Coturnix japonica: one gene and its partners. The protein of the gene in region 3 purifies or fractionates together with the protein of the main gene of each other region. This does not show direct contact. Links are inferred from orthologs where the notes say so. Each region holds a gene or a part of one and is shown on either strand. Other genes may lie near its edges.

What was found.
Region 1: the proteins of EXOSC10 (region 3) and EXOSC1 purify together in Homo sapiens (co-immunoprecipitation; 8 studies listed by BioGRID and IntAct, counting the BioPlex papers as one, with this or other methods). This does not show direct contact. The link is inferred for Coturnix japonica from reciprocal best matches to the Homo sapiens genes EXOSC10 and EXOSC1.
Region 2: the proteins of EXOSC10 (region 3) and EXOSC2 fractionate together in Homo sapiens (co-fractionation; 9 studies listed by BioGRID and IntAct, with this or other methods). This does not show direct contact. The link is inferred for Coturnix japonica from reciprocal best matches to the Homo sapiens genes EXOSC10 and EXOSC2.
Region 4: the proteins of EXOSC10 (region 3) and EXOSC3 purify together in Homo sapiens (affinity purification with mass spectrometry; 8 studies listed by BioGRID and IntAct, counting the BioPlex papers as one, with this or other methods). This does not show direct contact. The link is inferred for Coturnix japonica from reciprocal best matches to the Homo sapiens genes EXOSC10 and EXOSC3.
Region 5: the proteins of EXOSC10 (region 3) and EXOSC7 purify together in Homo sapiens (affinity purification with mass spectrometry; 6 studies listed by BioGRID and IntAct, counting the BioPlex papers as one, with this or other methods). This does not show direct contact. The link is inferred for Coturnix japonica from reciprocal best matches to the Homo sapiens genes EXOSC10 and EXOSC7.
Region 6: the proteins of EXOSC10 (region 3) and EXOSC9 purify together in Homo sapiens (co-immunoprecipitation; 7 studies listed by BioGRID and IntAct, with this or other methods). This does not show direct contact. The link is inferred for Coturnix japonica from reciprocal best matches to the Homo sapiens genes EXOSC10 and EXOSC9.

What each region holds. Positions count from the first base shown.
Region 1 is NC_029521.1:19,501,849-19,505,997, reverse strand, and holds EXOSC1 (exosome complex component CSL4), read right to left. Parts: upstream 2,308-4,149; coding exon 2,277-2,307; intron 2,204-2,276; coding exon 2,088-2,203; intron 1,958-2,087; coding exon 1,883-1,957; intron 1,730-1,882; coding exon 1,641-1,729; intron 1,487-1,640; coding exon 1,453-1,486; intron 1,318-1,452; coding exon 1,267-1,317; intron 1,169-1,266; coding exon 1,084-1,168; intron 915-1,083; coding exon 808-914; 3' UTR 681-807; downstream 1-680. Other genes in the region: palmitoyltransferase ZDHHC16, read left to right, coding at 2,306-2,574, 3,727-3,979, 4,113-4,149. UniProt on the Homo sapiens protein: Non-catalytic component of the RNA exosome complex which has 3'->5' exoribonuclease activity and participates in a multitude of cellular RNA processing and degradation events.
Region 2 is NC_029532.1:4,557,652-4,562,656, reverse strand, and holds the start of EXOSC2 (exosome complex component RRP4), read right to left. Parts: upstream 3,160-5,005; 5' UTR 3,121-3,159; coding exon 2,996-3,120; intron 2,923-2,995; coding exon 2,821-2,922; intron 2,643-2,820; coding exon 2,597-2,642; intron 1,455-2,596; coding exon 1,365-1,454; intron 1,161-1,364; coding exon 1,095-1,160; intron 946-1,094; coding exon 877-945; intron 1-876. Other genes in the region: PRDM12 (PR domain zinc finger protein 12), read right to left, coding at 4,525-4,907. UniProt on the Homo sapiens protein: Non-catalytic component of the RNA exosome complex which has 3'->5' exoribonuclease activity and participates in a multitude of cellular RNA processing and degradation events.
Region 3 is NC_029536.1:3,559,471-3,564,431, forward strand, and holds the start of EXOSC10 (exosome component 10), read right to left. Parts: upstream 3,131-4,961; 5' UTR 3,106-3,130; coding exon 2,944-3,105; intron 2,218-2,943; coding exon 2,081-2,217; intron 1,383-2,080; coding exon 1,259-1,382; intron 1,085-1,258; coding exon 980-1,084; intron 793-979; coding exon 627-792; intron 1-626. Other genes in the region: serine/threonine-protein kinase mTOR, read right to left, coding at 4,060-4,075, 4,648-4,753, 4,956-4,961. UniProt on the Homo sapiens protein: Catalytic component of the RNA exosome complex which has 3'->5' exoribonuclease activity and participates in a multitude of cellular RNA processing and degradation events.
Region 4 is NC_029521.1:3,509,063-3,513,891, forward strand, and holds EXOSC3 (exosome complex component RRP40), read right to left. Parts: upstream 3,428-4,829; 5' UTR 3,397-3,427; coding exon 3,121-3,396; intron 3,048-3,120; coding exon 2,898-3,047; intron 1,954-2,897; coding exon 1,802-1,953; intron 574-1,801; coding exon 372-573; 3' UTR 283-371; downstream 1-282. Other genes in the region: DYDC1 (DPY30 domain-containing protein 1), read left to right, coding at 3,746-3,892, 4,005-4,127, 4,669-4,740. UniProt on the Homo sapiens protein: Non-catalytic component of the RNA exosome complex which has 3'->5' exoribonuclease activity and participates in a multitude of cellular RNA processing and degradation events.
Region 5 is NC_029517.1:39,619,313-39,624,376, forward strand, and holds the start of EXOSC7 (exosome complex component RRP42), read right to left. Parts: upstream 3,130-5,064; 5' UTR 3,054-3,129; coding exon 2,997-3,053; intron 2,895-2,996; coding exon 2,793-2,894; intron 608-2,792; coding exon 513-607; intron 1-512. UniProt on the Homo sapiens protein: Non-catalytic component of the RNA exosome complex which has 3'->5' exoribonuclease activity and participates in a multitude of cellular RNA processing and degradation events.
Region 6 is NC_029519.1:48,282,271-48,287,215, reverse strand, and holds the start of EXOSC9 (exosome complex component RRP45), read left to right. Parts: upstream 1-1,904; 5' UTR 1,905-1,974; coding exon 1,975-2,040; intron 2,041-2,181; coding exon 2,182-2,276; intron 2,277-2,490; coding exon 2,491-2,610; intron 2,611-2,834; coding exon 2,835-2,937; intron 2,938-3,314; coding exon 3,315-3,452; intron 3,453-3,624; coding exon 3,625-3,707; intron 3,708-3,942; coding exon 3,943-4,075; intron 4,076-4,172; coding exon 4,173-4,261; intron 4,262-4,444; coding exon 4,445-4,591; intron 4,592-4,934; coding exon 4,935-4,945. UniProt on the Homo sapiens protein: Non-catalytic component of the RNA exosome complex which has 3'->5' exoribonuclease activity and participates in a multitude of cellular RNA processing and degradation events.

The DNA of each region.
Region 1 (4,149 bases), on a different chromosome or scaffold from region 3:
GTATTTGCCATGTGCTTCCTCCAGCCAAAGCCAACTTTAGTCCTGCATCATGGAGGTGGTTAGATGCCATTGTGTACCCATCCCACAAACGTCTACTTGGCACTGTCACTGTAGCCTCCCCCACTGCTGCTGTAGTGAGTCTGGGCTTGCACTGGGTCAATCTAACTGTCCAGCGGTAGCAGTTGTCTTGTTCCAGTTCAATAAAAGATGAATATGCAATAATTAAATGTCAGCGTTTCCTTGTGCCACTGCGCCACGTGGAGCTCCCACTTTGCCTAGCACCGCATTTCCTGCACCACCACGTGTCTGTGATGCGCAAGTTGCTGCTGACTTGTGGGTGCAGAAGGTGCTCAGACTGCACAGCAAAGCACAGTTCTGCAATCCTCGCTGCAAAGAGTGATTCACTGCAGTGCTTTATGGGCTCTGGGCTGTGCCACACCTCTGCCTAACAAAGGGCATGTATGGCCTGAGGTGATAAGCCATCCTGGGGATGAGCACAGCAGCCATAGATGGTGCTATGTACCACTAAGCCTCAAAGCCTCGCTGCTCCCCAGGACAGGAACAGACTTTCTCACTCCCACACTGATGGGAGAAACAGCCCCCTCCAGCAGCTCCAGAGCAGAAGGGCTACAGGCAGCCAGAGCAACCCCTGCGGGCAGTGACTGAGCAGAACACAGAGCTCTCAAAAAAACCACGTTTATTTATTACTTACAGCACAAATACAAAACCCATCCTGCTGTATGGAAGATGCTGGACCCCACCATAGCAGCTCTCTTTCCTGGGGTCCCTGTACCCCTGAGGAGGCTGCTATGTCTGCAGGAACTGAGGCTGCACACGGGCCACCTTACGGAAGTCCTTGGTGTGCGTCTGTGGGCACTGCATCTCACACCAGCTGATAGGCACCATCTGCACCCCTGCAGGCATCCTCAGTTAGCAGATCCCTTCCTGCTTTGTCACACTGCCCAGCCCCAGCAGCCCAAAGCCTCCTCGTGCAGCCCCTGAGGCTCAGCAGTGGGAGGAAAGGAGGGTGTTTGCTCCCCATGCTGCACTGGCTGTTCCTCACATGGAGATGAGGATTCCTACCTGCGTCGCTGCGTGCCACCACCACACCCAGCTCGTTCTCTGCCGTGCTCAGCAGGTAGTTGGACTGTGCATCCCCCAGCGAGATCTGGTTAGGTTTGTGTTAAGGGAAAGACTCCCTGCCTCTATAGCCCAGCACAAACCCTCCAGGCCCGTGGGCCCTCCCACTGCGATGGGAAAGGATACGACTTTGGCCAGGACTATGTCACCGGGGCGGAAACTCTTGTAGACTTCTACCTACGTGGGAGGGAGTGGACAGGAGTGCATGGAGAGCGCAGGTACTGCTCGATAGGCACCCCATGGGCAGCAGCACGAGGGGAGCTGGACAGGGGGAAGCTGTAACAGCACTGTACCCAGCAGTGCCCCGCTGACCTTATCCTTTTCAGTAGCTCGAATGTCTTCCCTCCTAGAAAAGCAGACACAGGAATGTGATACCAGAGAGAGCCAGGAGGAGCTGCCCCGGCCTCCCTGGACGGCAGCCAGGCCTCGCTAGATGCATCCACGCAGCTGTCCTCGCAGCAGGCAGGCACCGCGCAGTGTGCCCCCTGCCCTTTCCCTACCGTATGGTGCCACGGAAGGTGGATTTCAGCGGCGTGGAGCCAACGTACAGGATGTTCACTTTGGCAAACCGGGAGTTGATGCTGCACACCTGCACCAACGGGCGGCGGGCACTCAGCGCCCGCGCAGCGTGGGCCGGGCCGGGCCGGGCGGCTCCTTGAGTGTCCGCCGCCGTCCGTCCGGAGCTCCGTGAGCCGAGCACACGGCCCCGGCCGCGGGGACACGTGGGGACAGCGGCACCCACCTTACACGTCACCACGGAGCCCACGTCGGGCAGCAGCTGCGCCTCTGCATCCCGCACCACCGACACCACGGGCAGCTGCGGGGCACAGACAGATGGATAGACACACAGACACACACACAGACACACACACACACACATAGACACACACACACACCCGGTCTCAGCCCGGTCCCGCCCCGTTTCCCGTTCCCCGCCGTGCTCTCACCGCCCCGTCCCGCTCGCAGCGCCGCACGCATCCGCTCAGCGCAGCGAAGATGTTGCCGTTCCGCACGTAGGTGCCGCTCCCCGCCGCGTTTCCGTCCGCTCCGCACAGCCGTTCTCCTGCGGGTCGCTCGCTCAGCACCGGTCCCGCACTTACCGGCCCGTCCCCCCCCGCCGCCCGCCCCGCACTTACCGGGCACGCAGTACCGAGCTGGTGGCGCCATGTTCAGCGTCGCGCGTGAGCCCGCAAAGAACCCTCCTCCTATTGGCTCTCAGCGACGGGGCCGCGATGTAAGCGGCATACCTATTGGTTCTCTTTTAACCTCAGGGAGCGGCGGTGTCGCGCGGCCCGCTGGGAGTCGTAGTGCGGCGCCTCGTGCCGGCCCTGCCCGCTGTGCTCAGTGCGCAGGCGCGGGGCGGCGGGCGCTGCCCGGTGCCGTGAGGGCGGCGGGAACCGGGCATGGCGGCGGGCGGCGGGGAGCGGGCGGCAGGTGCGAGCGGGAACGGGAACGGGAACGGGATGGGTGCGGCGGGGCGGGGAGCGGGGCACGGAGCGGGGCGGGCCCGCGGCCTTGGGGCGGCGTGACCGGCTGGCACGGCCGAGGGCAGCCCTGAGCCCAGCACGGGGTCACCGGGAGCGGGAGCTCATCACCCGCCGTGCGGCCGTGCCGGTACCGCTGTGTCCCGGTCCCGCCGTGTGCCGGTTGTGCCGGTTGTGCCGGTCCCGCCGTGTGCCGGCCGCTCGCTCTGTGTTCCCGGGCCGTGTGTTGGCGCTGGGCCGTGCCGCTGCCTGGCGCGGTGCCGAGCGGAGCGCTCGGTTCGTGCCTTGGCCGCATCCCGGGCCGGCCGTGCCGTTAATATTGATGGCCCGGGGGCCCTGACCCGGCGGATCGTTTGCCTCATTTCGGGCCCGGCTCGGGTTCCTCCTCGCTCCCATCGCGGCCCTCGGGTGGGATAAGAGGCTCAGCGGGAGGACGAGGGCTCGGTGCGTCCCTCTGCTGTCCGAGTGCCCGCAGCTCGGCCTGGCACAGCGCAGCGTGGCACTGTCCGGGGAGCTGCTGGGGTCGGTGTGCGATGGGCTCTGCAGCTTGGTCCGGGGCTGAGGCAAAAGGAAGAGCCGTCCAGGTGCTGCTGGGTGTGAGGAACAGGGCACGTGTTTTGTGCGGGCTCCCTCACTCCCGAATCCATTAGCAAAGGCTGCTGAGGGGATCCCCGTGGGTTTGGAGCGTTCCCTGCCCTGGAATGAGCTCTTCGCCCCATGTGCCCTCACCGTCTCCAGTTTCCTCTGAGTCAGACTCTCCGTGTCGCTCCCCAACCCCCTCCCCTGTGGGAAAGACGAGATGGGAGCAGGGAGCACCCGAGGTCAGGCGCGGAGCCTGACAGCCCCGTGTCCCCCCTCCGCACACAGAGCTCGGGAGCGCAGCATCCCTTTGGGCTCAGCGCCACCCGCTTCTGCTCCGCATCCTGCGCAGGGTGAAGGAGCCCTGCCCCGCCGTGCAGCCTGACACCTGGCCTGCCCACACCCAGCATCTGCCCACATCCAGCATCTGCCCACATCCAGCATCTGCCCACACCCAGCATCTGCCCACACCCAGCATCTGCCCACACCCAGCATCTGCCCACATCCAGCCCCTTCCCCGCAGGTTCGGAGCAGCAGGGATGAGGAGCCGGCAGCGGATGTTTGCGGCGGTGATGCGCCTGCTCCTCAAGTGCCTGCGGCTGGGCCGGCGGCGGCGCTTTAAGCTGGTTCGGCAGGCAGGGCAGCTGTGGCACTATGGGCACCTCTGCCTCCGCTCCCTGCTCTACAATTCCTTCACCAACGGCGACGTGGTGCTCGACTCCCTCTTTGAGCCCATCTACTGGCTGGTGGACCACGTCACCCGCTGGTTTGGTGTGGTGAGTACCTCCATTGCGAGGGGGGTTTGGGGCGGTTCATGCTGCTGGGGACACCGAGTCCTAGGGAGGGAGCGAAGACGCCAGCATGGGGCAGGTTCTGCACACTCCACTGACCCAAGCCCCTTTCCTTTAGGTGTTTGTGGCACTGGTGATAGGCTTGACAAGCTCCA
Region 2 (5,005 bases), on a different chromosome or scaffold from region 3:
TAATATCCAGTCACCGACATGCACTCCAGGAACCAGCCAATTTAACATCTTTTCCTGTGAAACGGTGAATATAAAACCTGCTTGCCTCTGGGAGTGCTGGGAGGATTAGCTAATGCCCTGTGCAGCCCTTTGAAGATGAAGAATACTCTCAGTGCTTAGCATAAATGTTAATAATGTCTTGATTGTAACTAGACATCAACCATCCTGCAGAAAAACGAGGAGCGAGAGGCCCAATTCAGCAGAACACTTTCCCTCTTAATCCAGTCTCTGTCCTTCACCCTCTGTGCAAAAAGCACATTTTGCTTTTATCTTTTAAGTGCTAATACCTTTGGTCTAGTAATCCCAACTGCAGCCCCCTTGGCTTATTTCAATGTGCAAAAACAGAGATAAATGCCAACTGCATAAAGCCTAAAATAGAGCCCTGGAGTGAGCAGCAAGCCATGGGGACAATGACCTGCAGAAGAAGAGCGATAAAGTTTGAGATAGAAGATTTTTCTTCCCAGAGCTCAAGTCCCAAGCAACTGGTGGGAGAAATGGATTCATGCAGTAACTGTGGAGAGGGACAGCAGCAGTTCAGAGGGAATGTGTGCAATGAGGAACTCTGCTTTGAGCTCCCATGTAGGAGCTAAAATTCTTCCTAACCTACTGACAAGGGCTATAATATCATACTCTACTGCAGAGCCTTTTATTCCTTAAGGATCTCCCCCCAAACCTCTATCCTGATGCTATCTCGATATAAATACAAAGAAATTCTACTGACATGGATAGAACTGCACTGTATTTAACAAGATCTGACCCTCTAACAGACCACTAAGCACAAGGGTTAGAGACTCATACAATCCAACCAGCACAAAATGAGACTTTTGAACAACATACCTTCCCATATTTCAGACTCCTGGTGTGCAGTGATACAGCCCCATCTGAAAACACAGACTGGACCTCTGCCTGTCAGTGCCTCTTAAGGAAACAGACTTCTTCATGCTGCCCTGTACCAACAGCCACCAACAGAGCTTTCCCTGCCTGCCTGAGGTCTGGCTGTTCCCCCTTCCAATCCCTTTGACTCTTCTGTCCAAGTACAAGCAGTGAAAGGATACACTGATGAGATCCCCTTCCTGCAGATAGTCCCTCATTGCAAGCTCATCTTCTGCTGATCTCCTCCTCTAAAATGGACAATGCAAGAAAAGTTATGGGTCACGTAGAATGAGAAAACATTAATTAACAGCAACACAAAGAGAGGATCATCTCCTTAGGACACTGTGCAAAATGCATGGGAAGTCAAAACCACACGTGTGCTAACTGCAGGAGGGGCTCAGAGCATCCTGCCCTGCAGCACTGTGGTCCTTCTCTGCACAAACTGTGCTCACCAGTTCCCCACCAGGTAAATTCATAGACGACAACAACAGGACTGAATCCAGCCTGGAATTGGTTTCCACTTTCCATCGTTTCTGTTGAACCTGGTGAAGAAAAAACAACGTTAATGTACACTCAGAAAATGAACTAAGTCTCTAATCTAAGTGGGAAGTCATGCAGATGACTGACTCTATAGCAAAGCACTGTGACAGCCATAAGAAATGACCGGCCAGTGCAGCAGAGGCTGTCAGAGAAGGAATCATTTCAGTTGGAAAAGAGCATTAAAAGCCACCTGGTACAACTCCCAGTAATGAACAGGGACACCTGCAGGTCCCTCAGGTGCACAGAGCCCCGTCCAGCTCTGATCCTGAATGTCTGTGGGGGTGAGGCAACCACAACCACCCTGAGTAACTTGTGCCAGCGCCTCATTGCCCTTATTGTAAAAGACATCCTCCTTATATTGAATGTAAATCTCTCCTGTTGAGACTGAAACCATTTCCCCTTGTCCTATCACAACAGACCCTGCTAAGAAGTCAGTCCCCTTCTTCCTTACAGAAAGATACTTTAGATAATGACAGGCTGCTCTCAGCTCTCTCCAGCGCCATCTCCTCTCCATGCTGCACAGCCCCAGCTCTCAGCCTGTCCCCGCAGGGAGCTGTTCCATCCCTCGGATCACTTTTACGGTCATCCTGTGGATGTGCTCCAACAGATCCATGTCCATCCTGCACCGAGGATGCCCCACCAGGACACAGTGCTACAGATGGGGCCTCACACGAGGACATGCCCACCTCCCTGTCCCACAGCTTGCACTGCATGCATCCAACCCTATGGGTCCCAGCCATCCCTATGGGGCTGAGTGCTCCCCTATGGGTCCCAGCCATCCCTATGGGGCTGAGTGCTCCCCTATGGGTCCCAGCCATCCCTATGGGCGCCAGCCATCCCTATGTGGCTGAGTACTCCCCTATGTGTCCCATCCATCCCTATGTGTCCCATCCATCCCCTATAGATCCCATCCATCCCTATAGATCCCATCCATCCCTATGTGTCCCCCCCTTTAGTGTGGGGTCCCTGTTCCCCCTATGGGCGCACTGGACGGCAGCTCATTACAATGGATCCGGATGGGCACTACGGTTGCCACCAACGCCCTCCTGCAGCTCTGCATGGCACAGTGCTCTCTGTGCTCCAGCATCTCACTCTTTCTTTGTCAGACCTCATCACGTTCTCCCGTGTCCTCCCAGCTCCTCACCTCCGTGATCCTCCCGACCACGATGTCTCCGACCTCCCCGTTGTACCTGGCGGTGGGACAGAGCACAGCATTAACACAGCATTAACACAGCATTATTACACACCATTATTACACAGCATTATTACACAGCATTAACACACATTACACAGCATTATTACACAGCATTAACACACATTACACACCATTATTACCCATCCCATTGCACATCCCGTCCCTATATTCACCTGCTCTGTAGCGGTGTCACACACACCAATTTATTCACCCTCTCCACAGCTCCAGCCACCGAGGCGACGAGCTTCTCCTCATCCACATAGGTGCCGTGTCCCCTGCAGACAGAACGGACGCCATTAGAGCCCAAACCGCGGCCTGCCCCGTCCCCTAATGCTCCTCCATCCCCACCTCATGTATCCCGTGTCCGTAGTGATGGTGTCTCCGGGTACAACCAGGTGTTTCTCGCCGCCCCGAGGCCGGCTGGGCCCCACGGCTTTACGGATCACGGGCAGCCGCATGGACACCGCCGCCATCTTGGTTGAAGGCGGAACTGCGCCTTGCGGTTACACGTGACTTCCGGACGCCATCTTGAATGAGGGCCGTAACGAGAGTCACGTGGGTTGGGTACAGGGCGGCCATTTTGGTTCCTGGCAGGGAGGTTGGGGGGGGGCAGCGATGTGAATGGGGCAGGGGGTGCTCCCCTATGGGTCTCATCCATCCCTATGGGGCTGAGTGCTCCCCTATGGGTCCCAGCCATCCCTATGGGGCTGAGTGCTCCCCTATGGGTCCCATCCATCCCTATGGGGCTGAGTGCCCCCCTATGGGTCCCAGCCTTCCCTATGGCGCTGAGTGCCCCCCTATGGGTCCCATACATCCCTATGGGTCCCATCCATCCCTATGGGTCCCATCCATCCCTATGGGGCTGAGTGCTCCCTATGGGTCCCAGCACCCATTAATGGGGTTGGACCCACAGCCCCCCCCTCCCCCCAATTTAAACCACGCTCGGTCCCGAATCGCTTTTTATTTCGAGTACAAGAGAGAGGTACAAATGTATTTACAGCGCTGTGCGTATACAATCCCATAATATAGAATATCAAAGGCTTGTAAATAATGTTTTACATAAATATTTACAAAGTTAAAGTGACGGGTTATTATATATTTTCCTTCTTGGGTTTTTCTTTTTTTCCCTTTTCTGGCAGTAAAACGCAGTGTTTTTATTTTTATGAGAGCTTTTATACACCTCGGATTTAGGATGAACACAACAACCTTCCAAGTTAATGGGAACAGCCGCTCCGGGCTGTGCGGTCCCCAGAGGGCAGCAGAGCTGAGCGCTCCCTTAGGGCTGGATGGGGCTGAGCAGCTGCTGGGCCGTCATTGCATGGTCCAAGTTGGAAGGGACCCCCCTCAAACCCCTCCTAAAGGCCGCCTGGTCCAACTCCCTACACACACAGTGCTCAGAGCCCCGGGCAGCCTGACCTCGGGGGTCTCACAGCCCATCTCAGCCTCCCATCCCTTGGTGGCATGTAGACAAACCCCATGGCACAGCTGGGGATAGAGGGAGGAAAACCCAACTCGGCTGAACAGACAAAGCTGATGGTCCCAGTGATGCTGTGCCACGTCTCCTTGCTGGGCGCTCGCTGGCACAGAGGAGAAAGGACAAAAGCAATTTTCCTTCCTATCAAATGATCCATAAAACCCAACCTTGATTCATCCAGGTGCAGCCGCAGCTCCGAACACACCAGCAAAATCCACACGGGATGTCCTGCCGTGCCCTCCCATTCTCCCTTTCCCACCAAACCCTATGGAAACGCTGATGCTCCCAATGCAAACTCAGAGCAGCGGCTCTGCCACGGGCTCCCAGTTCCTCACACATCTCAATGCCAGTCTTTGCACGTGGGCAGCGACCATCCAGAAACGTGCTGCTGCCGTTCCATGGCTCACAGCACCATGGTGGGGATGTGATGGGCCAAGGAAGCGGGATGGGGCACGGGTAGGGCAGGCGAATGAGCCTGCAGGGATGCATTGGGGGGTCGATGACGGGCGCTTTTCTGATGCGCCCGTAACCCGGCCAGCTGGGAATAGGCACTTTGACACACCTGGCACTTATAGGGCCGCTCTCCGGTGTGCAAACGGACGTGGTTACGCAGGGTGGAGGATTGGCTGAAGCGCCGGTTGCAGAAGCGACACACGAAGGGCTTGTCCAAGGTGTGGATGCGCATGTGGGAGCGCAGGTTGCTGCGGGAGTTGAAGCCGCGGTGGCAGATGACGCAGCGCATGCGACCCGTGGTGCTGGCCCCGGTCTCCACTGCATGGAAGTCCTCTGCGAGCAATACAAGGGGATGGACGGTCAGGTTGTGCCCTGCTCACACCCCTTTCTGTGCCATATATAACCACCCCATGCTGCACACTGCACCCACA
Region 3 (4,961 bases):
TACTTCCAGCTAGATTTGCATCTGCAGCTTCAGTGATAACCCAGTTAATGGGTCTGAACAGGATGCTGTTAAGAAACATGCAAGGTGGCTCTGCTCGAGAGCTTGGAAAGAGACTGGGAAATCTTCAGAAAACACTTTCATTCATTCCCGTGCTCTAAACTACATCCACATCAGTGCAGACTCGAGGTGAATCAGCAGCAGAAATGTGACACCTTGCTGAGATGAGATGTTTCACTGGCAGCTTTGATAAAGGCAGATCTAATCGTGTATCTCCTTTTCTAACTTATTAGGAAAAGGTATCTGTAAAGTCAAGCAGACTTACAGACCAAGCAACAAAACTCCTCCTGCCAGGGGGACTCTCATGGAAATTCAATGGTGGCAAAGAGAAGCAGCAGAATATCTGTTGGGAACAGATTAGTTACTGTATACCAACAAAAAGATGTTGTATGCTGACCAAATCTTACACTGCACATACATAAACAATGGAGTCACAGAGCAATCTCATCCAAATAGTCAACATCTGCTCCTGCTTGCTTTTACAGTCAATATTTCCTCTTCTGGATTGTCAGGACAGATTTGTGTCAAACACTCTCAACTGATTACCCATCAACAACAAAAAAACTTACCTTCAGCCAATGGTTTCAAAGCATTTGGCTTGATAAAAAGCTTAGGTACAAAGGGAGTGTTGGAATTGTCAATCTTTTCTCGAAACTTAAGCTGTGGGCGAGAGATATTCTTGGCATGGAGCAGTCGGAAGGTTTCAGACTTAGATCTTTTGTGGTATTCTCCTGCCTATTAAAAAGAAAGCAAACCAACATGACTTAACAGACATCCAGAGCATCTTCCATTCACTGACCCCAGTACTGCGAGAAAAAGGAGGTGAGTGAGGACATATGAAAAAGTCCAAGGGAACATTTAACTACTAAAATCCACTGGCAAACTGCAGTACCAGTGCTGGGAAAAAGAGCAGCAGCCTCACCTTGCGGTTCCAGCTGGAAACGATCGTCTGTGGCACCTGCAACCCAGCAGGAAGGACAGGCTGCTGGTTTTTGTTCACTCCTGCTGCTTCATCCAGTAAAATACCCTAAATTCCAGGAAAAAAACAACAAAAATGAAAATCAAACACCCGCTCAGTTACTGTACTATGCTAAACATTAAACATAACTGCAAAAGCACTAACAGTAGAATTATTTTAACAAAAAGCACTTGTGGTACCTGAATACCTTATACAAGTAATGTTAAGGAATGATTTGCTCACCACTCTTTCAAGAATGATGTCATTGGAGTCAACCAGCATATCAAACTTATCTTCCAGCTCCGTGACTTTGCTGCGGTCTTTCATGTGGCTGCGGCAGCCGTGGTACTGCATCACCCTGCTCATGCTTGCAAGAGAACAGCACAGTTATTATGGATTTAAACAATAATAATAACAACAATAATAACAATTAACTGAACACTGAACCATGCAATTCTTCTCAACTTTCTACATCGCAGAAGTTTGAAAGCAGATCAAATGTAATACTTATAATAACATACAAAAAGCAAATGTATGAAACACCTACATGGTGCTAAGAGTTATTTAGTACTAATAGGACTGATTTCTTTATGAAACAACTTTCTAGATCACAGAACTGTTTGGGAGGGACCTTTAAAGGCATCAAGTCTAACTTTCTTGCAATGAACAAGGACACCCACAGCTCCATCAGGTGCTCAGAGCCCCTTCCAGCCTGACTTTGAGTGTGTCCACAGATGGAGCATCACCACCTCATTACTCTCACAGTAAAAAACCTTGTTATATCCAGTCTAAATCTCCCCTCTTTTAGTTTGAAACTCATTCCTCTTGTTCTATCAGATCTGTCCCCTTTTTTCTTATATACCCCTTTAGATACTAAACGGCTGTTCCCAGAGCATTTCACAACAGTCCCCACTCGCAGTTTGTTCCCATCAACACCATTAAAGGCAACTCAGCTAAAATTCGACACATGACCTAAAACATCCTTTTTACCACCAACCAGCCTGGAGATTCCATAGAATCCCCTGTCTGGGCCTGGCAGTTGCCGGGGCTGTGATGTCTCCTTACCATTGCAGCAGCCGATGTCCCTGAGCTGCACAGTACGCCCTGAACCCAGGGAAGCTGCGGTAGAAGTCGTACTCATCGCCAGGCTGGGGCAGCCCGCTGGATGCCTTCGTGGTGGCCACCATGGTGCCGAGGGCGTGCTGTGTGAGAACACCGTGTTAGTGCATTGCCTGCCCTGCTGCACACTGTGCTGACAAACCTCCATCCCTGTGTGTGTGCGAACAGTGCGGTTACATCCAACACATCGCAAGGCCTTGGTTTGTTTGGGTGTTTTTTAACACGACTAATCACAGAATCACACACAGAATCACAGAATGACCCGGGTTGGAAGGGACCTCAAGGATCATGTAGTTCCAACCCCCCTGCCTGGCAGGGCCACCAAACATACACCTTTACTAGATCAGGTTGCCCAGGGCCCCGTCCAACCTGGTCTTGAACACCTCCAAGGACGGGGCATCCACAACCTCCCTGGGCAGCCTGTTCCAGGGCCTAACCACTCTCCTAGTGAAGAACTTCCCCCTAACATCCAACCTAAATCTTCCCTCTTTTAACTTAAAACCATTTCCCCGTGTCCTGCTATTATCAGCCCTTTCCAAGAGTTTACTCCCCTCCTGGGAGTAAGTTCCCTTCAGGTATTGACTAAGTTGGCAGTTGTTTCATTCACACCATCTCATCAGGTTAAACAGAGTAAAGCGATAACAACACTACGCCTGTCGTGCCAGGATTTACGTTTAGAGAGAGGTTTATCAGCACAGACGCAGATCTGGGCTTTATTTCAATGCCAACCACATCACGGCACCGAGTGACCGCACGGCCCGGCGGGAGCTGTAGTGCACGGCCCCTTCCCGCTTCACCCCGCCCCGCACCTTCACGAAGGCGTCCACGTCGTCGAATCCCGGCAGCACCGTGGCCGTGCTCCCGTCTCTTTCCGTTTCCACGGGCGGTCCCCCCTGCCCCCCTTTGCCCCCTTGGGCCGCGCTGCTCCCCGCTACCGCGCAGCCGTTCCCCTCAGCCACGGCGGCGGCCATCTTGTCCCCTCAGCCACCAGACGCACGGAAACTCTCGCGAGAGCTTCAGGGCCGAGAGAGGAAGATGGGAGATGGGCAACGCATGCGGGCGGGTAGACAGTACCAAGCCTTATACATAGCGCCCCCTAGCGGCTGGCGGACCGCGCTGCATGCGACCCCCACCCACCCCAAGCGACCCCTCCTGCAACCTGTTACCTGCATCCCTGTCTCTTCCTAAGAGCTACTTAGGAACAAACAAGAACGCAGCCCCACGGTGCCACGTTTTGCTGTAATTTATTGGCACAAAAATATCCAAATACAACATGGCATCTAAACATGGCTACTCTGTTGTATTTTGTGCATTGTTTTTATTCATAATTCACGACTTCCTCCACTCCCATGTTATTATTATAACCATTATTTCATTTCAAGTTATGACCAGCTCTCCCCCTTTTGCCTCCTATGCCAGTTATCACGTTCCCCTTTTAATCTGCACACAGAGCTCCCCAGCGGTGTCTCATTGCACTGCTCGATCTGCACAGAGGCACCTGGTTATGGTCAGATGAAGGTCTGAAATTCTTAACATCTGCTCCAATATTCCATTCAGGGCAGCAATCCATCTGCAAATGATTCATTTACTTTGCAAAGTAATTCCAAACCCGTATATAGTTATATTTACCAGTTCCCCAAAGACCCAGTGGAACCATTGACACCTGCAGTACAATCAGTCTTCACTGTCCTTGGAAACCCAAATCAGCTATTGTGTTCCAGACAGCTCGTGTTTTTTTTCCAATAGCAGCTATAAATTGGCTTAAACCAACTTGTTAATATACAATAACTCTTTCCATTTACAGTTCAAACTATTTGACAAAGGCTGGATATCAGTCCAACGTTCAGTTTGTGTTTGTAGAAGAGCAAGTTTGGAGCGCAAAAGCCTCCAGAATAAAAAGGCTGTGGATACTTTGGGATCTTCTGTTACCAGAAAGGACACCTAAAAGGAAACAAAAATAGGGTGGTGATGCTCAGTGCAGCTTCACAAAGGCAGTGCTGAGAAGGACTGAGACTGCCAAGGCTCCGTTTAGAAGACATAGTATAGGAAATAGTATAGGAAAAGTTGGCAGGTGATCCCCCCACACACAGCTTAAATGCTTAAAACTAAGGACTGTTTCCTTAAGCATAGTCTGATGTTATCTCTCTCAAATGACAAATGTGCAACTAAATCATTTATGTTTGCTGCAGAATATGGAGATCTTCACTGTAACTGACATCAGTGACCAACATATGCCTTACTTCCAACACTAAGTGTTCAGGTTGACTGCAGCTTTAATGCTCTACATTCCCATTACTCCTTATCACAACTTACATTCTTACAACGGTCTGTCTAAGGGATCTCTGCCATAAGCCTGCAAAATGTACGAGCTCATATGCAACATGTGGTAAGGCTTCCATACGTAACTAAATACACCAGAACTAATGTTTTTGTTGGCTTTCCCTCTGCTCAAATTATTAATTCCAGATCACTCAGAGAAGAACTTTGCACTGTTAGCTGAATGACAGACTCACCATCCAATGTAGCACTGGCACAGATTCTCATGAGAAGTAGCTTGCTTAATGAGCAGTTCTACTTGTGTGGGTACATCAAGAGTTTCATCGTGAGAGAAGTCTCGACCTTGGAAATTAAGGGACGAAGAAACATGAATGGAAATCAGGTGACATAAACATAACTTCTAGATGGCGAGTTCAGGACTGATGGGACTTGTATTACCCCCTTCCCTTACTGAATATAAATTACAGGACTAACACAAAATATAAATATTAAAAGTGGTGCTGATCCATCTCATCACGTTTTCAATAAATAAATATGTGCTTACCAGTGA
Region 4 (4,829 bases), on a different chromosome or scaffold from region 3:
CCAAAATAGATGATTCACAGTTACCCCAAGTAAACATGTACCATTGGAAGCTTTACTATTAACTAGTAAAAACAAATATACCCAGCTGATAAACTGTCCGGTTTTGTTCTGGAAAAACTTCATGTCAAAACTCACCATTAATTGAAGCTTTTCAAGCCCATCTCCACACCAGTCAAAATCCACAACGATGGACAGTATTTCATAACCACAAGGCATCCTAAATACGGTAGGACCAGCTGAGTGCATAAAGGGAACAGAAGAACCACCAAAAACATCTAGGACTTCATTTAGTGTGACTTTTAATATAAATCTGAATACAAAAATAAGCAGAACATCCTACAGCAATCGCAAACCTTCAGACTTTCTTTTACTCAATTCCCCGACAGTTTGGCGAGTGCTTGTTTCCTCTGCTCTGCAGTCATATGCTCACAAGCTTCTAAAATATTTACTATAATTAAAGTCTGTTGAACTGTTTTTGCTTTTACCCATATTCTTCCATTCACTCCCAGCACCAGCTCTACTGGGTACAGTTGGGACAACTCCTGAATTATTTCACATTTGGGAGCCAAGAGTCTGTAAAATAAGATTAGAAAGGGTTGGAGGAAAAAGTGAATGCTCACGTTCGCTAAGTATTACAACATTATCAGCCAGCAGCTAAACAGTAGCACTGGAGTTACAAAAGCAACTCCAAAAGTTAAGACGATTCAAATTGCATATCCAGCCATATCAGAATTGAAGTTCTCCTCCCAAAACACATGCACCTAAAGAGAGCACCTGTGCACTGTAGCTGTTTTCCTAATTAGGCAGAAGAGTTACCAAGAACAAGGCTGAAAAACAACTTAGCTGTTCACACTGATAAGACACATAAACCAAATTACTTACTAAACCCAGGTATGACATAGCTACTTGTTATCTCCAAGAACAGATGCTCACCTCTCCTCCCTCAACATCAAAGCAACAACTAGTCTGACCATCTCTTATCACTATCAGCTGGTATTTTATGATAGTCACACACTGTTTCTAGTTCAATGTACATGCATCCTTTCCCCAGTAAAACTGGCATAAATGCAGCACAACAGCCACATAGCAGTTACTGGCTAGTTCACACTACTTGAATTGGAGACAGCTGTGCATATCCTACCTAAAAACAAAATGTTACTCTTCCAGTTTCAGCTGCACACAATTGTCTCTCCTTCAGTGCCTGCTAAGATGCTGTTCTGGTTTTAGGAGAAAAACAATGATAATACACCTGTATTTCCAGCTGTTGCTGAACACTGCTGTACAGAGCCAAGCATACTTCATTTTTCCCCACTCTCTCTTACCATCCTACCAACTGGGGGATGGGGAACTAACAAGGATCTCGGAAGCACAGGGCAGGGCACCCAAGCAGCTGGGAAGGGATAGAAATAAGACAGCTGACTTTAAGTGGCCAAAGGGATATTCCATACCATATAACATTACGCAAAAGGAAAGTTTTGAATGGGACATGAGTCCTTTTTTCTCTCTCTCCTGCTGCTTGGGGCCTAGCTGGGCATCAGTCAGTGGGTAACTTCCTATATACATTCACATATATGTATTTCTCTTAAGTAGTATCTTGTTTTCTTTTCTCTTTGTAAACAGTTTTATCTCAACCCATGAATTCTACTTTGTGTCTGTTTTTTAATCGATTCTATTCCCAAGCCTATAGGGAAAAGCAGGACAGGGTCTGGAGGGAGAGGAGCTAATGACTGTGTGTTGTTTAGACACATGCTAAGTTTAACAACCCCAACACTTTAGTACAACTGGTTTTCTTAGTACTTACTTTCTTATCAGACCTAAGGAAACTTTAAAGAGGAAGCCGTCTTGTCCAATTACTCCCATTCCACTTGCTCTTCCACTGCTGTCTATACAGACCATCTCTGGTTCCATGTCTTTATTTGCTACAAGGAACTGACCATAAACAAGGTCTCCCACCTAAAGCAAGCAGTGCCAGAAAACAACAAAAAAAAAGAATCATTAGAGAAGATAACAATGCACATTTGTAAGAAACATTCAGTCCATAAAGAGACAACAAAACAGTTGTAAACTGGATGAACACTTGGACAAGAACCAGCAGCGTACACTTGCAGCTCAGAAGGCCAATGGGATCCCAGGCTGGATCCAAAGAAAGATAGCTAGAAGGGTGAATGAGGTAACTGACCCCTTTATTCTGCCATTGTGAGGCCCCACCTGGGGTACTCTGTCCAAGCCTGTGGCCCCTGACACAAGACCATTGGAATGGGTCAGAAGAGGGCCGGAGCGCCTCTTGTGTGAAGAAAAGTTGAGAGAGTTAGGCTTGTTGAGCCTGGAAAAGGCTCTGGATAGACCCCATCGAAGCCTTCCAGTGCTTATAGGGAGTGACTTTTTATATAGCCTAGTAGTGACAGGACAAGGGGGAATGGCTTTGAATTAACAGAGGGGAGATAAAGGTTACATGTTAGGAAACAATTCTTTACTCAGAAGGCGCACCAGAAGCCATACCAGTCTATTCCATTTAAAATCACAGCCCATTTTACACCATGCTGACAGTGTTTCTGGTGAACGCACATATCACAAAACAACTTGTAAATGCTACAAAGCAAACCCTCCTCTACCAGCACCAGCGTTCAGAGGATGCTTTAAAGCCTCAGGGTGGCCCCTTGGGACCCACGTTACTGCACGAGTAGCACCTGCCACTGTTAACCGATGGGAAAGGTGTAAGGTCAGAAGTGAAGAAGCACAAAAAGCTCCGGAGAAAACAGAAAAAACTCACGGCCTCATCGGGACACCCCGTACAGGCCATGACAAAAGCTCTGTGAAAAAAGTCACGTTCCTCGTTTATATGGTCCGAGTGGTAAAAACACCGTTTACAAAGGCAAGCTCCCGGCGGGCAGCGTTACCTGCACGTTGGGCCTGTTCCTCTTGGTCGCGCCCTCGAAGGCCAGGTATGACAGCGAGGCCTGCTCGCTACCACCGACGTCCAGCCGGAACACGTCCCCCACCTTGCCCGTCACGATGCCGATAACGTGGTCTCCCTTCACCGGCACGTACTACAAGCGGGTACAAGCGATCAGCGGGCTCGTCCCGCACATCACCGCCCCCCGCCGCCCGCTGCCGCCGTACCCGCTTCTGCTGCGAGTCCACCCAGTAGGCGCCGCCCGCCGCCGCTCCGCCGCCCGCCTGCCGGTGCCGCAGCAGCCCGCACTTGGTGACCAGCAGCCCGCCCGCACAGCGCCGCAGCCCCGGCCCGCACAGCAGCCTCCCCCGCGGGGCCGCGCTGGTGCCCAGCGGCAGCTTGTCGAGGTCGGGCTCTCCGTGCTCGGGCAGCAGCAGCACATCGCCGGGCAGCACCACTTGTCCCACACGGGTCTCCGCCGGCACGCCGCCCCCACCCGCCATCGCGTGCGGCCCTTCCGGCGGAAGCAGACGCAAAATGGCGGCGGCGATGGAAGGGCCGAGAGCGCAACGACAGCGACACCGCCCGGCCGCCTGACGCAGGATCCAGCCGGGAGCGCGGTTGCCCGGTAACGCGGTTGGACGCGCTGTGCGATCGGGCCGGTAGGAGCGAAGCGGTAGGGAACGGGGGACAGCACCGCTACCACCTTCTCATATTAATTGCCTGATGAAATGAGCTTTGATAAAACCACCAACATCACACTGGGGATGTGATGCAGTCAACACTTCCTCTAACTGCTGTCTGAATTCCGATATCGGTGACTAATATCTGTCGGTTTGTCAGTAGGTGAGAATGGAGTCTCAATACCTGAGGAGATGTCTGGGAAGCTGCTTGAAAAAGGGTCTGGCGGAGGTTGTGGAGCGTCGGCCCGCTGACCCAATAGAGTACCTGGCACACTGGATCTACAACTACAAGAAAACACTAGAAGAAGAAAAGAAGGTGGGTCTACCTCGGGCAAAGCATTTCATGTCAATCTAACTGATGCTGTATAATCTCTCTTTGTGTTTTGTTTCCTTTTTTTTTCATTGATTTCTTGTTACCTCTGAAATAGAGAACGTTGGAAAGGGCCAAACTGGAAAAAGAACGGCAGGCAGCCCTGGAAGAACTTGAAATGTTAAGAAAAATGAAGGAAGAAGAGCTACTGATACAACAGAAACTTGAAGAACAACGGCAGGTTAATAGTTGTTCATAATTATAGTAGCGTGTGATGCTGGGTCAACTTGTAGCTCTCACTACAATAGTAGTCATTATCAACATAGAATCATAAGAGAATCAGAATGTTGGAAAGTACCTACAATTGTATTCTGATCTTGAAAGGGAAAAGATAACAAAAAGTGCTTAAACATTGCGTTTTGAAAATATCATTATTTCGAAAGGAATTAGAAAGGACAGCTGAGCAGCTGGGGAGAAAAACTTACCTGCTACATGACAAGATGTTACCAAAAATGAAGAGACTAAGCTAAAGAGAAACTAACTAAAGATATGTTAGAAAATTAGATTAGGATAAGTAGACTGTCTTCTGCAGTTAACTATCTTAGCTATTTTTTCCTCCCATAGAATCTATATGGATTAGTCTGTCTATAATAGATGCTGTGCAAAGCTTCAAAGAGCCTAATCCAAAGTATAGGAGATATAAATATTAACTACTAAAGAGCACGAGGAACTGAGTATCAAAAGCATATACGCTATCTTCAGCTGTCTTCTCTTTACAATAGGAACAAGAACGTGAGAAGATGGAACAGCAGAATAAAGAAGAGAACATGCAGGAGCAGCAGAAAGATCCAGAGGTTTAAGCCAAAGCTTAGTCAAGATAAAGAAATATTGTTAATCATCTCTCTTATTCAGATCCAGTCCCTAAATACAGAACACAAGGCAG
Region 5 (5,064 bases), on a different chromosome or scaffold from region 3:
GACTGAAAACAGTTATTACTGTAGTTAATAAAATACTGATTTGATGATAAATGTGATCAATAAAACCATGTTCTAATCAACCTTTGTATCTAAAGTTTATGAGAATTTATTCTTTTTAATAAACGATCTTGCACTAAATACACTTTTTACACTACTTTCAAAGACAAAGTAAGTAAAATCCTTTGAGATACAGTCTTAAGTATAATCTCCATAAATTAATTCTTTTCTTCCCCCATGTCAATACTTGGAATGCTTCATTACTGAAAGATACTGTCTATGTTCAATCACTATAAAGAAAAAAAAAGGCAATTGATACTACAAAGCTGAAATGATGTTTCTGAACATTCAGCACAGCTAAGACAGTAAAATAAACTGCTGCTGTTACTCAGACACTAAGCAGGTTAGGGCAGTGAAGGTTCACATTTCAGATCTGATTAGGTTTTTTATTTCAAATGTGAGAAGCAAAGTGTATATGCATACTGCTCCATTACCTTTTCTTCTACTATACTAACCAGTCAACAAAGAATTCCAGATAACCTTCATCTGGTTTCTCTAACTTCGGTGTCCCCATTTCAGCTTTTACACCAACCAAGATATCAGTGTGTCCCTGTTAAAACAAAAATACATCACACAGTTAGAACTATGGGCAAAATACACTCAGTTGAGATGCCTACAGCATGCAGACACTACCATCTATTCTGTTGTCTTTGCTAATTGCTCTACTAGAGAATTGCAGAACAGAAAGGCTTTAGGAGAACAATTCTGTGCCCACATATCAGCTTTCTTTGTGTATATAAGACAATCTTAATAGCCATACCTTTTTATCATTGCAGTTCTGGATCAGTTATTTCTGCAGAATGTTTATAATACCGCCAAAAAATAATTGTTTTCTTTACAGTCAACACATGCCAGAAGTAGTTTTGCTTCACTGTAAAGGAGCAGAATTATTTTTTCCAGTGACAGGCACAACAGCATCTAACACCCAATAGCAGATTAGTTCAGACTGAAGGCCTTTCAGGCACTCCACTATAAATTTAGCTCAAATGCATTAAGCTAACTTGAATTATTCATATATCTTGTCATTATTTCCTCAACCTATCATGTCAATTAGAGCTAAGCACATACATACATGCATAGGTCGCTCTGAAAGTAACGTCTTCTATTTATTTCCACAGAAAATATAAGAGGTGCAAAGAGCAAAATAACATTATTTGATTGAACAGATTCTCAGCAACAAAACCTTATTAACATAGTCACCATCACTCTGCATTTTCACCACTGATGAACAAGAGACTGCATGCTGCACTCATAAAAATCTGCACCAGCAGAGGTAACCCACTGTTTCATAGCTATGACTGCACCACTGCTAGGAAAGCATTGCCTGAGCAGTCTATTTTCCATCAAGCCCAAAGAGGTGGAAGACAGAAGGCACCAAATCCACACTACACAGTGGGTGCTGTAGGACAGTCCAGACAAATTTGGCAACGTGCTCCAGGGTCCTGAAACTGGTATGGGACTTGGTGTTATCGCATTGCAAGAGAAAAGGTGTCTTCTTCTCTGCCTGACTCTGGAAGCTCAAGCCTTCAGCTTAGTCAGTGTCATGATGTAGCAGTCAGAGCTGATGGTTTGTCTGGGTTTCAGGAAATCCAAAAGGATCACTTCTTTCCTATCCCAAGAGACAGTTCACAATACTTTGCCTGCTGAAGGCTATCTCTTGAACTTTTTCTTCAATAGGGAATCACATGTCACCACTCCATGGACTGCGTTTTCTCACCGGTGCGTAGTGGTGACACCACATCTCATCATCACTACTGATGTGATCCTGGAAACTGTTGCCTTCAGCCTTGTATTGGTTCAAGAGATCCTGACAAACTTATAACTTTGAATCCCCCCTGTCGTGCAAGTGGTAGAAGTGCCGCTCTGCTACACAGGAGGCTCGAATCCCAGGGGTTGGACTCGATGATCTCTAAGGTCCCTTCCAACCCACACCAGACTGTGATACTGTGTGATATACAGTATTCTTTCTGCTCCTCTGTGAACACTTATGGGAGCCACCTGGCATGCATTTTCTGATATTCCAACATTGTCACCATCATTTCTAATGCAATGAAGCTGATATTCAGCTCTGTACACAGTTCCCTGGTCATAATCTGCTGATTTGCACAAATGAGCTGATCAAGACAGTTCATTTCATCGTATGACAGCCGTGCATGGTCATCTAGAACATGCCTTGTATTTCACAAGGTGAAATGCACCACCACACAGAATCACAGAATTACCTGGGTTGAAAGGGACCTCAAGGATCATGTAGTTCCAACCCCCCTGCCTAGCAGGGCCACCAAACATACGCCTTCACTAGATCAGGTTGCCCAGGGCCCCGCTTCACTGTGCTCACGTTCGCTGTTGGGTCTCCATCAGCATTCAGCATGCGACAATGAATGCCAACAGGGACAATCGTTTCAACACGACATAATTCAATACCACATCTTTGCATTTCCAAGTCAGACACCATTCTGTCAGACTGCACATCTGCTGTCATCAGTCACAGGGCAACACAATAGAATGAAATATTGTTGGGAAGGTTCAACCTCTACTACCACACCACCAACATCTGCTTATGATACTGTGGGCCAACATCATAAAATAGGAGGGGCTGTTTTTGGAGCAACATATTAGACACATATGAGGAGACACACATGGACGTATTTACAAGCAGCAATTATTTATCATAAGCCAAGCGAAACAAGCCAGTTTTATCAGCAATGTAGACGACTCCTGAGCCGTTCACCTACCAGCTTCACTCTCGCAGATCCACTCGTGTTGGACACCACATCTGTCTCTACTTCTGCACACCTGTAATCTTCACAGCCACGGCCATCCACACGGAGGTCCTCCTAAACACGACAACCAACGTAATCGCGAACATAAGGAACCTGTGCTTTTCAAGCTTCCCGTGCCGAATACATCACCAAAGATGACAAGCAACTATTCCCTACCTGGACGCCGTGTATGATGTACATCTTCTCCGCGTCGCTCAGCACTACGGACGCCATGACACCCCGCGCGCTGCAGAGCACTTCCGCTTCCGCTTCTCGGAAGGAGGCGAGCTCTGCGCCTGCGCACCGCCGCACTTCCGCAGGCGGGAAATGGCGCCGGTCGCCTCAGCGCCTTGTACAGGGCGGTGGGGTCGGCCCTGTGTGTGTGTGTGCCCTTAGCTGAGGTAAAAGTAACCTGAGGGTTGTGTGCCCCGGTGGCGCAGTGGTAGGAACGCCGCCTTGCAACACTGGGGCCCGGAGTTCGAATCCCCCCTGTGGCACAAGTGGTACAAGTGCCGCTCTGCTACAGAGAGGCTCGAATCCCGGGGGTTGGACTCGATGATCTCTAAGGTCCCTTCCAACCCACACGAGACTATGAGACTATGAGGGTACCCGAGTATGAAGCTGAGGTTCTCCTGGCTGTCAGACCGCGGAGAAATGCGGAGTTTTACCCGAGACATCGTGCTGGTGGTGTGGGAATGCGATTAAAGGCTCCAGTTTGACACTGCGTTGTAATTGAGGGGTGTTTATTGTGGCAGCTTCCATTAGCTCACGTTGTAGGTGCCATACGCTCAGCACGGCTCTCCTGTATGTTGGTTGGTGCGCTGAGTGGTGCCCACTAAGGGCACAGTGAGGTTTGGGATGTTAGGGGGAAGTTCTTCACCAGGAGAGTGGTTAGGCCCTGGAACAGGCTGCCCAGGGAGGTTGTGGATGCCCCGTCCTTGGAGGTGTTCAAGACCAGGTTGGATGGGGCCCTGGGCAACCTGATCTAGTAAATGTGTATGTTTGGTGGCCCTGCCAGGCAGGGGGGTTGGAACTACATGATCCTTGAGGTTCCTTCCAACCCGGGTCATTCTGTGAGGTTATGGCGCTGGTGCTGCCTGGCTCCCAGCTGCACCCACAGCGCTCAGACACAAGGAGGGGCAGCTTTCCTTCCTTCATTCCTTCCTCCATGTCTGCCATCCATCCCAGACTGGAAGCGCAGCCAGCAGCTCCTCGCTGCTCACAGGATGCGGTGTCGTTTATAACAAGGACAAAGCGATGCCTTCTGCCTCATTTTAGCCAGCTGGAAGTGGAAAAAGACCGTGATGGAGCCGCCCGGCACGCAGGGGCTCACGCTGCCCGGTGAAGCTGCAAGCAGCGCAGGCAGCGGCCGCTAAATCCGCAGGTGCCGGCTGCTGCTGCCCGGCTTTGCGGTGCCGAGGCCCGGGGCGGGGCCGCCGGCCGCCAGCCGCCACTTCCTGGTTCCTCCGTTGCCGCCCCACCTCCTCGCCGGGATCGCGTAAGGGGACGGCGCTTGGGGAGGGGGGGGGAACCGCGCTCCGCCGGGCCCAGTGCCGCGCGCGGGGCGCCCGCTCCGGCGGGGCGGATGGGAGGTGGCGGCGGGCGGCGGCCTGCGGGTAGGTGGCGGGGCAGAGCCACGGGACCGCGGGGCTACGGGTGGGGTGGGGTGAGGTAAAGGGGGATGCGGCCGGGAGCGCCTTCCAGAGCGGGCCGTGACATGGGCTGCGGGGAGGCCCACGTTGCCCTCCCTCCCCTCTTTCCCTCCTGCCCCACCGCGGCGTGTCCCGGGTACCACGCGGCTCCGAGCGCTGCCTCCGGCCCAGCGGGGCTTGTCACCCCGCGGGACGCTGAGCGAGGTGCTCGCTGGGGTGTACGGTGTGTGAGCTCCCTCCGGGTGGTTATCGGTTTGGAAAGCGGCGGCGGTGCGGTGTGCCTGCGGGCGGGGGGCACCTCCAGCGTGATTTGGCACAAGCAGCTCATCGCTGTGTGTGTTTCTGTTGCCATTTTTCATTGTAAGAAGTGTGGTTGCAGACAAGATTTTGTGTGTTTGTCGTTGGAACTGCTTGTAAGGTGACAGACGACAGAGCCAAAGCGTGACTTAACTCCAGCTGTTGGAGCAGGTTGGAGGAAGATGAGTACCCCATCCCTCAGCCAAAACACCTGCCGTGCCCCGGCTGAGCCCGTGGCAGTGCGTATACAATCCAAGCAGAGATGGCTCTGTTGTGATGAATCCCAGCATAGGCTC
Region 6 (4,945 bases), on a different chromosome or scaffold from region 3:
CAAGGCAAAAAACAGTTAGCATGAAGGCCCAGGATCAGATTTTTTCCTATTCTCCTTCTAAGGCACAATTCTAAGTGTATGCCTGTATGGGAAGTTGGTAATCACAACTTGAACCACTGATTAATCAGCTGAGGCAAGTGTCGGGTCAGCTGTGGGAGCACAGGTGAGAGTAATTTAGCTGTGCTCCTGGAAGAAGTGGAGCTTGACTCCAGCTCCTCTAGACCTCATTTAAGGGCTGACCACCACTAAGGCAGCATCTCTTGGAGGTTGTTTCCTGGTGGAGATTGACTCAGCATTTCCTAGTGAAGGCATCCATATTGTTGAGTTTTTCCTTATAAATAACCTTTTGAGTATTGGTTACCATCTTTGTATCATTCCACCTTGCAATGCCCCTGTTGCCTTTTCTATGATTAATAGAGGGTAGCATGGTCTAGGAGCCTCCAATAAACCCTTGTAACAATTTTAGTATGTAAGTACCTGAAGAGAGTTTCATGAAAAGCTGTTTCATATTGAAATGCAAATGCTTCACAAAACTGGTTTTCATTCATCTGCACTACTGAGCAACCCCTTACTGCAAAAATCCCACTGTCCATATAGTCTGCAAGAATAGTACAACTTATTAGCTAATGTGGATGACTTGTTGAGCAATGCATCCATTTCCAGATTTCAATTCTTTTTCACTGGTAGACAATATAATGTTTTTTGTAAGAGTATTAGAGAGATGGTAAGCATTATCTTCCCTTGCAAATGCAGCAGTTATAACAAAACAGTGCTAGTGAACGAGATCCAAGTAGAACTGATTAATTTATCCTTCCCAAGATAAGCAGCATGCTGAATCAATAACAGTGACAGCTAAGATACCCAAGGAAGCCCTGATACTTCCTGCTAAATATCTGAACTGCTGCATTAGTCATGCACAGAATGTCCATTTAAGCATGAAATTCAGCTCTCTCTCTTCTTGCACAGAAGCTACGAGAATTAAACTGCACTGAAAAATGCTTAAGCTTAATTGCTTGCCTGCTGTGGTCGACCTCAATGCAAACGCTGCAGGTCCAGTTTTCACACCTGGAGCACAAATACCAGTGATTCCAAATACAGTTGGCAGTAAGTCATTGTACTTTCCAACCCTCTCCTCCCCTCCCCCCAAAAAAGAGAAAAATAGAAAAAAGGAAAAGGGAGGTGGTGGGGAAAAATAAACAAACCAAAAAAACAAAGGGACAAGGGGGAATGGTTTTAAACTGAGACGGGAGGTTTAGGTTAGATATTAGGAGGAAGTTTTTCACACAGAGGGTGGTGACGCACTGGAACAGGTTGCCCAAGGAGGTTGTAGATGCCCCATCCCTGCAGGCATTCAAGGCCAGGCTGGATGTGGCTCTGGGCAGCCTGGTCTGCTGGTTGGTGACCCTGCACATAGCAGGGGGTTGAAATTCGATGATCACTGCGGTCCTTTTCAACCCAGGCCACTCTATGATTCAGTGAAAAGGTGGAAAGAAATAGCAAGATAAGTTGATTTAATGTGGGCTGGTTCAATAACAGTGAAGATTTCTCATTGAAGAGAAGTGTTTACTTCTACTGTCAGGCAAAATGACATTGAAAGGCTCTACAGAGGGATCTGGATAGGCTGAATCAGTGGGCTGAGACCAACTGTATGAGCTTCAACAAGACCAAGTCCTGAGTTTCAGGAAGGGAGGTCACGGTGAGGTGAAGTCGGCCTCTTCTGGGTCACAGTGACAGGACAAGAAGGAATGCCGTCAAGTTGCACCAAGGGAGGTGTAGGCTGGGTATTAGGGAAGAAGGAATTCCTCTCACAAAGAGCACTAGGCGCCTGCACCGAAGAATCGCGTCCGCCCACCGCCAGGGGGCCCCATTCAGCAGCTCCGCCGGCCGCGCTCTGTGGTGAGGCGGCTGGAGCGGCCGCCGCGTGTTGATGACGTCCCGCAGCCGAGCTCACGCCGTCCGTTTGTGGGGTCTGCCATGAAGGAGACGCCGCTGTCCAACTGCGAGCGGCGCTTCCTGCTGCGCGCCATCCAGGAGAGGAAGGTGCGGTGCCGGACCGGCCTCCCCGTACCCTGCCCCGTACCCTGCCCCGGGCCCTTGTCGCCTCAGCTGCGGGGCGGCGCGGCCCGGCGTGGTGCGCTGACCGCCCCGTGTGTGTGTGTGTGTGTGTGTCTGTCCCCGCAGCGGCTGGACGGGCGGCAGTGCTACGACTACCGCAATGTGCGCATCTCCTTCGGGCCCGAGCGCGGCTGCTGCGTGGTGGAGCTGGGCAAGACCAGGTAGGAGCGGCCGGGGGTCTCCGGGCTGGGACACACACAGCTCTATGCGCATTCACCGCCCTCAGGGTGAAGGAAAGGAAACTTGAGCTGAACAACGAGAAATGTGTTAGAAAACATCCACATGGGTCTTTGTTTTTTCTTTATATGTTTTGTTTCCATCGTTAGGTATTTTCTTGCTAAGCTTTCTGACCTAGCTGCTTATTTCCTTCTGCAGGGTCCTTGGGCAAGTCTCATGTGAACTCGTTCCCCCGAAGCCAAACCGGGCTACAGAAGGGATTCTGTTCTGTAACCTGGAGCTCTCACCCATGGCTGCACCTGGCTTTGAGCCTGGCAGGTACGTCGCTTTCTTAAGAAGTCCAGGCAAGGATAATGGTGCAAGTGGTAGAAGTGCCGCTCTGCTACACAGAGGCTCGAATCCCAGGGGTTGGACTTGATGATCTCTAAGGTCCCTTCCAACCCGCACGAGACTGATACTGTGATAATGTATGAACCACTGCTTGGACACGCACAAGTATGTACCATAATGATGTTGAATTTGGGTTGATTTTGTTTGAACAGGCAATCCGAGTTACTGGTCAAAGTGAACAGACTGATAGAACGATGCCTGAGGAATTCCAAGTGTATAGATACAGAATCCCTCTGCGTTGTTGCTGGTGAAAAGGTAGGAGAAAACTACCAGTCTCAAACCATTGCATAGAATCACTGAGCTTGGAGAAGACCTCCAAGATAATCCACTCCAACCATCCACATAGCACCAATATTTCCCCACTTAAGCCACGTCCCTTAGTTATACATCTAAATATTTCTCGAATTCAATCACATATAAACATGTTTAATGATTTTAAACATAAAAGTCACTTTTTCAGGTGCTCTGTCTTGTTTTGAATACTGGTCTTTTTTCATCCTAACTCTTAAATCAAATACTCGAGGAATGTAAGCTGCTCTTTTTTGTGATTCAAAAACTGGAAGTGTCTTGGAAAAGCAGGAGCTTCTGTGGAATTATGTTACACATTGCCAGTTATACATGTTTTCCCTCAGGTCTGGCAAATCCGTGTGGATCTGCACCTGTTAAATCACGATGGTAACATTATAGATGCTGCCAGCATAGCAGGAATCGTGGCCCTATGCCATTTTCGCAGACCAGATGTTTCTGTGCAAGGAAAAGAAATAACGGTGGTAAGTCATACCAGGTTTACCTCCATAAGTCGTAAATGGGAAGTATTATACAAGGAGAACCAAAAGAGATTTTTTATTAATATTTAGTTGACTAGACTTTTTTTCTTTGCTTTCTGTTTCTTTACATTGCTCTTGCACAATGTAAGTAACCAATAACCAATTCTTTTCTCAGTACTCTCCTGAGGAACGTGATCCTGTGCCCCTGAGCATCCACCACATGCCTATTTGTGTCAGTTTTGCCTTCTTCCAGCAGGGGTAAGAATTCTTCTTAAAGCTCTTGACAGAAACAGCTTATTGTCAGTTGTGCAAAATTATTGTTACAGCACTGTGAAAATACTCTTGTTGACAGACAGCTTTCTTAACACGTTCATACGTGTTCTCCACAGTGTGATAGTAGCCAGCAGCTTGCACAGATAGGAAGAAAACTGTTACAAGGGAGTCAAAGTCAACCTCAAACTTCTGTTGTCTTATGTTAAAAACTTGGTTCTAGGACGTATTTGTTGGTGGATCCAAATGAACGAGAGGAACGTGTGATGGATGGTCTCCTTGTAATTGCCATGAATAAACATCAGGAAATTTGTACCATCCAGTCTAGTGGAGGGATTATGCTATTAAAGGATCAGGTAAAAGTCAAGGAAAACATTTAAGGATCTGTTCTGTGGTTCTATTTTAAGTCATGTTTTCATGATTCTAAACTGTTACCGTGTATGTAACGTACAGGTTCTGAGATGCAGTAAAATAACAGCTGTGAAGGTTGCGGAAATAACAGAATTAATTCAGAAAGCTTTGGAGAACGACCAGAAAGTGAGGTGAGTTTTTGGGGAAGGAATGGAAAGTACTTTGAAGAACTGATTGAAAAGTTAATGCCAGTTTATAATGAAACAGCAGGTTGTTTCTGTTTGTAATCATTTCAAGTATTACAAGTATGGAAATGCTTGCTATATTCATATATGTGAAATATCCTGAAATAACGTCTGTTGTTGGATGACTAGGAAAGAAGGTGGGAAGTTCGGCTTTGCAGAATCGATATCAAATCAGAAGATCACTGCCTTCAAAATGGACAGTGCTGCTGTAGATACCAACAATGTGGAAGAACAAGCAGAAGAAATCATAACTAAAGCTGACCCTCCTTCAGAAGTGTATGTTTTCTATTCGTTATTCCAGGGGGGAGTTTTCCTCTTATCTGCACTGGCCCTTCTAGAAGCTAGTAAGACACTCAAGCTATCAGATGGCTCCGGGTGGCCCTATAGCCTTCAGAGGAAACAGCCTTACACTGATTTTAGTTCTAACTGCTTTTAGCTAACTGGATTCTTAACAGAAAGTGCAAAACAGGGCTGAAGTAACTAGTTGTCTCACCACGTGGAGAAAGATCACGCTTTCTTAACTTTCATTGAAGGCCTGGGGAGAAAAATTACAGCTGAAAATCAACTATTTTGCCTTAATACAGTGCGATTACTAACTCCAAGATTTTCTTTACTTCAGTTTTGCCAAAC